2 linked regions of the Neodiprion lecontei genome follow. The protein of the gene in region 1 binds, or shares a complex with, the protein of each later gene. Links are inferred from orthologs where the notes say so. Each region holds a gene or a part of one and is shown on either strand. Other genes may lie near its edges.

What was found.
Region 2: WD repeat-containing protein 48 (region 1) and ubiquitin carboxyl-terminal hydrolase 46 share a complex: the UniProt entries of both Drosophila melanogaster proteins name them as parts of the usp12-46 deubiquitylase complex. The link is inferred for Neodiprion lecontei from reciprocal best matches to the Drosophila melanogaster genes CG9062 and Usp12-46.

Annotation. Positions count from the first base shown.
Region 1 is NC_060264.1:15,795,987-15,801,243, reverse strand, and holds the start of WD repeat-containing protein 48, read left to right. Parts: upstream 1-1,988; 5' UTR 1,989-2,128; coding exon 2,129-2,176; intron 2,177-2,375; coding exon 2,376-2,592; intron 2,593-2,681; coding exon 2,682-2,894; intron 2,895-5,257. UniProt on the Drosophila melanogaster protein: Regulatory component of the Usp12-46 deubiquitylase complex. activates deubiquitination by increasing the catalytic turnover without increasing the affinity of deubiquitinating enzymes for the substrate.
Region 2 is NC_060265.1:2,717,595-2,723,203, reverse strand, and holds ubiquitin carboxyl-terminal hydrolase 46, read left to right. Parts: upstream 1-2,175; 5' UTR 2,176-2,495; coding exon 2,496-2,498; intron 2,499-2,668; coding exon 2,669-2,824; intron 2,825-3,002; coding exon 3,003-3,219; intron 3,220-3,314; coding exon 3,315-3,395; intron 3,396-3,481; coding exon 3,482-3,774; intron 3,775-3,877; coding exon 3,878-4,015; intron 4,016-4,085; coding exon 4,086-4,229; intron 4,230-4,307; coding exon 4,308-4,415; 3' UTR 4,416-5,059; downstream 5,060-5,609. Other genes in the region: lipoyl synthase, mitochondrial, read right to left, coding at 216-585, 675-833, 906-963, 1,062-1,218, 1,302-1,613, 1,710-1,772; 60S ribosomal protein L21, read right to left, coding at 5,137-5,609. UniProt on the Drosophila melanogaster protein: Catalytic component of the Usp12-46 deubiquitylase complex.

The sequences.
Region 1 (5,257 bases):
ATATGGTATAACGCTGTGTTGGTGCGGTGGTGTGGGCGTAGGGTCGTTGCGCCGTCAGCTTCCTATCCGCGTCAGCTTTGGAGTTGGGGCAGCAATCTCCTTAGCTACCGTGCTTCCTCTCCTCTTTTTGTAGGTGTTAGGACCTGGGCCGATTTTAGCTGCTATTCCATAATATGGTAATCACAGTGCACGTGCGCTAGCGGTGACCTTTGTTTCGTGGTGTCATATGTCGCGGACGTTAGTGCCGTGTGCACTCTCGGGGTCACGATGCGCTGAGTTCTAGACGTAGTTTACTTCTTAAATATTCTTACTATCCTGTTGGTTACGAGGTCTATAAATTAAGATTACCATATCGGTTATTTTTTATTTTGTAAGTTTTATAGTGTGTAAATATGTAGAATTGCATATGTGTTATAATTAATTACTATCATTATTCACCTGGAGTACAATAGTGGGACATAGTTGCTATTTATTTAATATTAAATCTAATACTAGGATTGCGCTGCTGCGAATATTCTTAGGTGTTCGTGTTATAACAATCTTAAGAGATTTAGGGTATTTAACAATTTGATAATTCGTAGTTTTGGAGCTGGTTTACATATGTGCTTTTGTATAATCCTCTTCTGTAATTGTTAATTCTTATATTGATATAGATCGGCTTGAAAAGTATTAGAGCATTGTTCTTATGTTTGTTGGTTGTCTGTTACTAGGCGTTGCCACGTATACATCTTTGAGTTAATTCCTTGGTGTCGTACAATACCTGTAAGGAGCTAGGGATATGTTTTCTTACGTTTTACCTCAAAACTGGTACAAGCCTTGTTTACCTAAAAGGGTTGATTGTTATTGTATTGATACGTTAATTGTAATTTTGTTTGGTTGTTTCGCTTTACAAGATAATCCCATTAGTTGATTCATCTACAATCGTTTCGTCGTTAAGCTTCGTAATATGTTCTCCAGATGAGGCTCTATATGGCTCCACATTGGAGATCAGCATTACCTTCAAAACGCTGCACACGTTACCTACAATACGGCGTTACGGTGGAAAGTATAATTCATGACGGATATTTGGCATTCACGGTTTTGAATGTTTTGCAGTCTCTGGTGTTATGGATTATTGCAGCAGTGCATCTATCTTTATATAATATCGGTTATACATTTATCTATGGTTTCACAGTCTTCTACTCTCCAGATTATACGGTATAGCGTAAGTTGCATATAGTGTAGGTATCAGCTCAAAATGTGCAAATGGCATTGTCGAGTGTTTTATAATAATTGGATATAATGGTGTTAGTTAATCATAGTGTTAATATGATAATGATATATAATAACGTATAATAATATTATAGCTCTTTGTAGTGCGAACTACATCTCGTAACATGGTTTTTAAGCCTTGATTAGTGAATTTCATAGTTATTTCTATCTAGGGATATTCCAAATAGTTAGACGGTTGTTTTAATACCTTACGGTTACAAGATTGTTGTACGTCGAGTTTGGTTAGTTAATAAAAATGATAAATAATAATAACAATAATCGATAAAACATACGGACGTTCCGGTCGGATGTTACAGTACAGAGCATAAAATAAGTCTAGTCCATATAAATTTACACTGATCTCACGTAGGTATCCAATTATGACGTCACGCCACATCCTTCGCAATGACAGGGCGTTCCTTTCCGCCGGCTATTTTGTTTTATTCATTTTTTTTCAACAAATACAATTCTAAAATCCATTTCTACGTTTTAATTTTTACTTAAATTACATAATGTTAATAATATAGTAATGATCTGATAAAATTTTTTATTATCAGACAACCCTATTCATTTTCGCGATTCAATTTTGAGTCTATCTCGTAATTTGTCCAGAATTGACTGCTAGGACGTCACTTCTGATTGCTTATGAGCGCCTTTCTGGTGACTTGTTGAACCCCGTCGCTTTTCGGTGGTCACTTCTTTAGTTGAAAATCCATACGACATACTTTTCCTTGCCTTTACACTGCGTAGTTTATGCTGATCGTGAGTGGTGAAACGCGATCTAAGCTGAATTCGGTATTTCTCTTCCTATTTTATTAAAAATCGGACCTCTACGGTTTTCGATGTCTTCAAAAAGTGCTTAGGCCAAGTCTGGACAATGGCAGCACACAAGACAGGCGGCCAAAGCGCCCGGAAGAAAGTCCAGGTGAGTACGGATCAGTCCGTATAACCAAAGCTTAGTGAAAACGTAAACAAATCATCATACGAGATGTTAACATGACAGGTTACATTTATCATATATTTGTATGTAACTTCTTGTCCTACACCATCATTGCTCCTCGCAATGATGTTATTGCGTTACATTGCTCATTATCGAATCTTCCTTTCCTCTGCAACGGTAAAAGGTGTCTATGGTAATTAGAGACGAAGTTGAACGTAAGCATAGAGCTGGCGTAAACTCACTGCAGTATGATCCAGTATCGCACAGACTCTATTCGGCAGGAAGAGACAGTATAATTCGAATATGGAACTGCAAAAATATAAAAGAACCGTACATCCAGTCAATGGAACATCATACTGACTGGGTGAACGACATTGTGTCGTGTTGCGGTGGAAAGAATTGTAAGTCAAAGTGACTTCTTGCCACGTTGTCTTTCTTCTTTGATGCTTTCAAATTCTTTACTCTCATTTTGCTTTATCAATTTTCTCAGTGATATCAGCTAGTTCGGACACAACAGTCAAAGTTTGGAATGCTCACAAAGGCTTTTGTATGTCTACATTGCGTACGCATAAAGATTATGTGAAAGCGCTTGCTTATGCCAAGGACAGAGAACAGGTGGCCAGTGCCGGATTGGACAGAGCAATATTCCTATGGGATGTCAACACTCTCACTGCTCTCACTGCTAGCAACAATACAGTAACCAGTAAGTATGATCACTTGAATCTCGCTCATAGTTCTGCGATTGATGCAACATCTGGCTGCCACAATATTTTTAGGAATATTATGTTTTTAATCTTTATCATTGGTCTTCAAGTTCAAATAAATTAAAATGAACTGAAAGTATTATTTTCGAATTTGCTGGAATCAAAAATAAGTTCAAAAGAACATAAGGTTAAAATTTGTAATGTTAATATAACCACGCATACACAGGAAACCTGACGTCTGTAATGTCAGCAGAACCATGTTGGAAAAATCGATTCTTACAGATACCATAACTAGGTGCTCTTTAGGTGCTAATTAGGTGTCCTATTCAAAAATTAGATGCTCAATTCTATTACCGATAAGAAAGATTCTTCACTCTGAGCTGCTGACCCAATGTCATGCTAGTAGCGCATAGTCTGAAAATGTCCAATATTGGTTATGGTTTTCCATTGTTATGGTAGTCTATAAATGACTGCGCAAGAGTTAGGTGCTCTTTAACTCGAATTCATTGTCTTAAAAAATGTATTTACACTTCAAAAAATCGTTAAATAATAGCGGTAGAATAAAAATGGTTGACTCAGGAATTAGGTGCTTTTTAGGTGCTGATTGCCTGATTTAAGAGCTTTTAAATACCAGTGGTGACAATTTCTGATTTTCAATCCTTAGTAAAAAACAAAAAAAAAAAAAACCATCCTTAAAATTCATTGCAGCGATTTCTTTTTTATGGCAAAATGTTCAGCGATCTAAGAGCTAACCGGACATGAATGATTTGATTTTTGAGATACTGCCCCCTAATAACCCCCTGTTCCAATTTGTTTCCGATCATCAGAAAACTACCCTTCAAATTCATCGCAGCGAATTTTTTTTTTACAGCAACTCACACAACATGCCAGTACTCATCGTTTTGAATTTTGTTTTCTCCTCTCATCGTGATTGGGCGTGGATATATCCATAGGGGTTGTTTCTACGACATTTTTTCCAATGTATTTCAGGAGTTCCTAATTAGTTCCTAATTCTTACATGATCAAAATGATTAAAAAAAATTTTTTTTCTGTGGCGGGGCTAGCTTTTCGGTAAGCTGATCCCCCCACTTTACAAAATGGATTTTCTCGTAACAGAAACGAGCTCAAAAATCGCGGTTTGCGGCATTGTAGAACGCATAAATAGCTCCTTAATCTATGATTTAAAAAAAATTTTTGGAGCATGTGGAGAGGGCAGCTTTTTGGAGGTGTAATCTTTGTATTGTTCTCAAAATAAGCAGGATACCGCGCTCTATCCATATCTGAACCTCAAATTTCTGTACTCCTAAAGGCAACTGAAATATTAAAACTAAAATTTTCAAAAAATCAAAAAAGTTAATAAAAGTCAGAAAAAAGTCATTTTTATGGCGATTTATGAAAATTTGAATGTCTTACTCTAGGTCAAGAAATCAGGACCTATATAGAGGTGCCCGTTCATGCTGGACCTTGAATTGGAAAATTGGTATTTTTTTTGTTTAAGCACCGATTTTGCACAACCTAATAATCGCGCAAGGAGGGAGGTTTGGAATTAGATTAGGGATGGAATGAACCACCCAATCTTCGATTTTCCAAATCATCTGTTGAAATTGAGTATTGTTTCAAAGCCGTTAAAAGAACGGTTTCTCGTCTCCAAATTTGAAATTAAAAATTCGGAAACAATTTCATCTTGTAGGAAATTTTATAGCAAACATGAAAAGTGCTGTACATTTTTATGCTCAGAGCCGTCATTTCGGAATTATTTCAATTAAACTGATGGGAAAACTTTGGATTTGCACTAGCGGAATTTTTTTTATAATTTGCCGTCACATTCAGCCCGGCGCACATCGATATTCTCAAATGTTACATTTTTTGGGAAATACTCAAAAAAAAAAAAAAAAAAATGCGATCTTTCATTTGGTCAAATCATTAGTTAAAAGCTGTTTGGATGACTGGTCTAAAACGCACTTTAATCTAAAAAAACGTTTCAAAAGTTGTAAAAATTGAGTTTGAGATTTGCAACTTTTTAACTGAGCTTCAAATGATACTCCAAAGAAATCAGATGATGGATATTGAGATACCTTTATTATTTAGAAATTAAATAATTCAAAACTGTCTGAAGAATATTTTTCACTGCAGATTTCTGTGTAAAAAGTTACCCCAAGCAAAAAAATTACCAGCCGGGTGACTTGCTCCTTTAACATGACGATACATTGCATCAGCAAGCTTACGTAAAACTTAATTGCGAATGATATGAAATGTAGCACCTAATTTTTTATAGTATACACAATCAGTACCTAAAGAGCACATAATTCCTGGGTCAACTATTTTTTTCTACCGCCATTATTTGACAATTTTACGAAGTGGA
Region 2 (5,609 bases), on another chromosome or scaffold:
CTTGTGGGAACGTAACCGAAAGAGTATGGCAGGTTCAGAAATAATTATTGCTATGATTATTAAAAGTAGAAGTTAGAAAATGTTGCGTGTCACCCTTTTGGAATAAATTTTATTTACAATGATTATTAATGGCTTTCAACTTGTATAAATAACTTCCTTCTATATATATTACTATGTAATCATTGCACCAGCTATAAAATTCAGGATATAACTAGTTAGGTAGCTGAATCTTGTGTAATAGATTCAGCTTGACGTGACTTCAATATGTTTGTCAAGAAAAATTCACCAGCTTTATAAGAAGACCTCACTAATGGGCCACTTGCTGTGTACAGAAAGCCCAAATCATTTCCTACACTCTCCCATGCTTTAAATTGCTCTGGTGTTACATATTCGATGACTTTTAAGTGTCGTTTTGTTGGCTGCATGTATTGTCCCAGAGTTAAAGCATCCACTCCAGCTGTTCGCATATCTTGCATGGCTTGTTCAATTTCTTGTTCAGTTTCCCCCAATCCTAACATTATCGATGACTTGGTTATCAAATTTGTATTCTTATTCTTCGCACCTTCTAAAACGCTCAGCGACTGTCTGACAAATGTTGATATCAATTAAAGATGTTACTCAGCAAATGAACAGCATTAATAGTTATTTACTATGCTCATTTCGCTGGAACTCACCTATAGTGTGCACGCCTGTCACGAACAAAAGGTGTTAGACGTTCCACAGTCTCAATATTGTGGGCAAAAACATCAAGTTTCGATTCAACTATTTTTGCTACGCATTCCTGATTACCTCTGAAGTCTGGTACTAAACATTCGACCAACATATCTTTTCTCCTAAGAAAATAAGGTAAATTTGAGAAACAGCATTGAAAACGTAGCAAATGAAATGCATGATACAAAATTTACCGCTTTTTAATTTCTACAACAGTAGCTGCTATGTGATTTGCTCCCCCATCTGGTAAATCTGCAATGGGCAATGAATATCAAGTATGAGTTCTGAAAGTTGCTCTTTTTAAACTAGTTTCTATAACAGTAATGTTACATAAAAAAAAAATATTTCACCATCACGGTCAACTGATGTTAAGACAACGTAGTCTAAACCCCAGTCTGCGATTGCTACTGCCGTGTTGACTGGTTCGTCAGGATTAGGGGGTTGTGGAGTCCGTGCAGTTTTAACTGAACAAAAGCGACATCCGCGAGTACACGTGTCTCCCATGAGCTAAGGATTTATCACACATCGCCAGTTCATTTCACCAAAGAACAAATTATTTTAGATGATACTGATATATATAAAGTTCGAACCATGATAGTGGCTGTTGCAGTTCCATGTTCGCCACCACCCCAGCATTCTCCGATATTGGGACAACGTGCCTCTTCGCATACAGTGCTCAGGTTTAATTGACGAAGTTGAGATTTTAGCTTGCTGTAATTAGCCCCCATAGGTATTTCGGTCTTCAACCATGGTGGTAGTCGGAGTCGGTTTTTTTCCCCTTTTTCCAGTTTCAGCTTTCCTTCATAATTACTCGTAGTATCTGAAACAAAGTCGTGGAGCGTCGGCCCGGTTGCCAATTTGACAGTGAACTCGTTTTTGGTGCTCTCCTTGCATTTCGCACACTGCAAAATTATGGAATTAAGGTTTAGGTACAGACTGCTGGCAGTTAAGTAGGAAACTCAGCACACAGCCGTGGTGCAGTATCAACATCTACTTACGCTTGTGTGGAGATTGAGAGCCCCGGGATTTCCCAAGTATAAAATACGCACTGATCTCAACATTTTGACTGTCAGACTGTCTTCGGGTTGTGTTACATATTTTTGCGAATCGTCTAATCGAGAGTATTGCGATGAAATTATAAATAACCTTGAATGACACTACGCACTTGATTCTATGTATCTATGTGTGCAGCTCTAACCCCTAATACCTATCTGACAGCAATTGAACGGCGATGCTTTCGTAACTGATCGTAATAGTGTCTGCTATTTGAACATTGATAATATAAAATAGGAATACCACCGTAGATTAAAAAGTAGATGACTGAAACATTGCTCGGATATCCGTCGAGTTGTTTAGTAATTTTTCCAGTGTTTCAGGAACACGGAATAATCAAATCTACATGTAGTCGCATGTAATACATACATAATAATACGTACAATTCATACACACATTAATGGATACGTATGGGCATGCATACACGCGAGCTTTATCCTGCATGTTGCAATGAAGTAGTAAAATTTTTTCTTTTAAATTAGTATAAAAGTGTAATTAATTTATTTAAACAATTGAGGTGAAAGTGTTGATCCATTAATCCTCCTCCCTGTATCACACCGTATGAAAGTTTTTACTACGTTAAAACTCACTCTCCTGTTGTGATTGACAATGGTTCGGTCGGTCGTTTAATTGATATAAACGTGCAAATTGTTATACGATGGGGCTTAAGCTAACGGTGGAAGCTGTACTTAGCTCTTGTCAACATCCAGTTGATACTATCAAATCATAAAATGGTACGTTCTCCACAGAAAACCGTGTTCATACGATAAATCGCCGAAGATAACCTCGTCTTATGTTGTCTTTAGCTAACCAAAGCTAGTTTTAATTCTATTCTTTCCATTATTTGATACTGCTAATTTGTACACAATAATCTTAACTGTTGTATGGAATTTTGATACAATAGTGCGTTAACAATGGAAGAAATATGTTACTAAGAATGAGTCTCCGCCTTGTTTTCAATCTTCACATCCAATTCCAGGGTGCAAATATATCGCAGCTAGAAAGAGACATCGGCTCTGATCAGTTCCCTCCCAATGAGCATTACTTTGGATTAGTAAACGTGAGTATATCTCCAATAAGAAGGAATTGCTGAAATTTTTCTACTGGCTAAGTTTATCTATTTTCCACGGGTTGTATTATACTAGCTACTTCACCATGGTTAATTTTTTCTTTCTACTTGTTACAATCCATTTACAATCTATATATGGACTAAAGGATGGACTTTTTGTGTTGGACAGTTTGGTAACACGTGCTACAGCAATTCTGTATTACAAGCTTTGTACTTCTGTCGTCCATTCAGAGAGAAAGTCTTGGAATACAAAGCAAGAAATAAAAGAACCAAAGAAACCTTATTAACATGCTTGGCAGATCTTTTCTACAGTATTGCGACACAGAAGAAAAAAGTTGGCTCCATTGCCCCAAAAAAATTTATCGCTAGACTAAGAAAAGAAAAAGGTAGGTCGTTTTTTTTTTGGCAAGTTTTCATGGATGTGGTCATGAATGTATAGACGGTTGCATGTCTGAATCCAATTTTTTTTCCCTCGTTTCAGAGGAATTCGACAACTATATGCAACAAGATGCTCATGAGTTTCTCAATTTTCTCATTAATCACATTAACGAAATCATACTTGGTGGGTTTAATTCTGTAGAAGTATTGAAGCTACTTGTTCTAATTTAGGAATTGAAACCATAAGCAATATTTACCATTCACTCACAGCTGAAAGAAACCAAAGCAGACCTGCAGGCGGAAAAGGTGGGGCAGGAGATGCAGGATCTCCGCCAGAGCCGACATGGGTTCACGAAATTTTCCAGGGCATTTTGACTTCAGAAACTCGTTGTCTCAATTGTGAAACTGTTTCCAGTAAAGATGAAGACTTTTTTGATCTACAAGTTGATGTAGATCAGAACACTTCTATCACACATTGTCTGAAATGCTTCTCTAATACAGAAACATTATGCAGTGACAACAAATTCAAATGTGATCATTGCAGTAGCTACCAGGAGGCTCAGGTAAAAAAAAAAGTTACGCTGTATGTAAGCTTTAAGAACTTACGTGGAATAATAAACTCATTTTATAATGATACCACTTTTTTCAAACTGTTTTTTTTTACAGAAACGTATGAGGGTGAAGAAGCTGCCAATGATATTAGCGTTGCATTTAAAAAGGTTTAAATACGTAGAACAATACAACAGACACATCAAAGTTTCTCATAGAGTGGTCTTCCCATTAGAGTTGAGACTCTTCAACACTGTAAGTCGATTTATCTTTTACTTAAGACTTCCTTGCAATGCAATTGTTGGTGTCTGATCATCATTTTCAGAGTGATGATGCTGTGAATCCAGATCGATTGTACGACCTGGTAGCAGTTGTTATACATTGTGGTAGCGGTCCTAATAGAGGTCATTACATTTCTATTGTAAAAAGTCATGGATTTTGGCTACTTTTTGATGATGACATGGTTGATGTAAGTTCAAGGAATAATAACAAAACATCTCTTAGAGCCATATTGAGTTGAAGTAAATGAACCTATTGTTTGTCCCAGAAAATAGATGCAGCGACAATAGAAGATTTTTACGGCTTGACGTCAGATATTCAAAAGAGTTCCGAAACTGGCTACATTTTATTCTATCAATCAAGGGACTGTAGCTAGAAGTTGACTTATACTTTAGCAATTTAACATTTTAATACGAGTGATGATGATGATGATCCATGGGACTTTGCGAATGTTTAAATAGCATGCTGACGAATCGGTCGTTTACCTTAATATGCTATCAGATTTTTCAATTATTTTCTTGAACGTGTTCTACGCGCATTGGTATTTAAACAGTCGAAAAGAAGATATACTAGATGCATGCAAGCTATGATCACGTATGTGAAATCGATATGAGTATTCATCTATGGCAGACAAGCAATCAGAAAATGTTAATGTAAAGTTTATTTATTTTAATTACCTATGTTGTACTACGTAGAACTAGTCGAAACTGAAAATATGTAAGAGCTAAATGGAATCTTTTATTTAAAATACTCTTACCTTGGTTCTTATTATGTCAGTGATATTTAAAATTAACATGTTACAGGCACTATTATAGTACATTATTATTATTATTATTATTCGAATGTAAAAATATATGACTGATAATAAAAAATATTGCTATAGGCTTAGATAATTTTATTACACACCTTAACTTTACAAGTTTTGTTTTCATGCCCAAACAAGTCATATTTTCCTTTAGTCGAATACTGAGAATCTCAAAATAGACATTCCCACATATTTTGACAGATTGCCTTGATCAACTTGTCTGCGAAAATTGGGTGCGGATTGAATGAGTTGCAAGAAATCTTCAATGTCATATCAAGATGTTTATTACTTTTTAAGCTATAAATTCATAGGGGATCGGAGCTAGTAAGATAGGTGCTTCACGGCCAGAGACAATGTGGGCAGCAGATGGCTGGGCAGGCTGTCTCTTAAGCTGGACCTGGACGTTCTTGTCCTTTGCTTCTTTCCTCAGCCTTTCATTTTCCTTTACACGCTTGAGGAAATCCTCACGGCACTTGGAATGAGTGACATGTTCGATGCGGAGGTTGATGCGTTTGGCAATGATGCGCCCACGCACCCGCTTGTTGACGATGACTCCAAGAGCATGTGGAGTTACGTTGAACACACGTCCAGTCTTTCCGTGATAAACCTTGTACGGCATACCCTTCTGCACGGCCCCATTACCTTTCACGTCTACGATGTCCCCAACTTTGTACACTTTCATGTATGTCGATAATGGAATGGTTCCATGTTTCCGGAATTTGCGAGAAAATAAGTCCCTCGTACCACGACGATAACCCTTTGAAT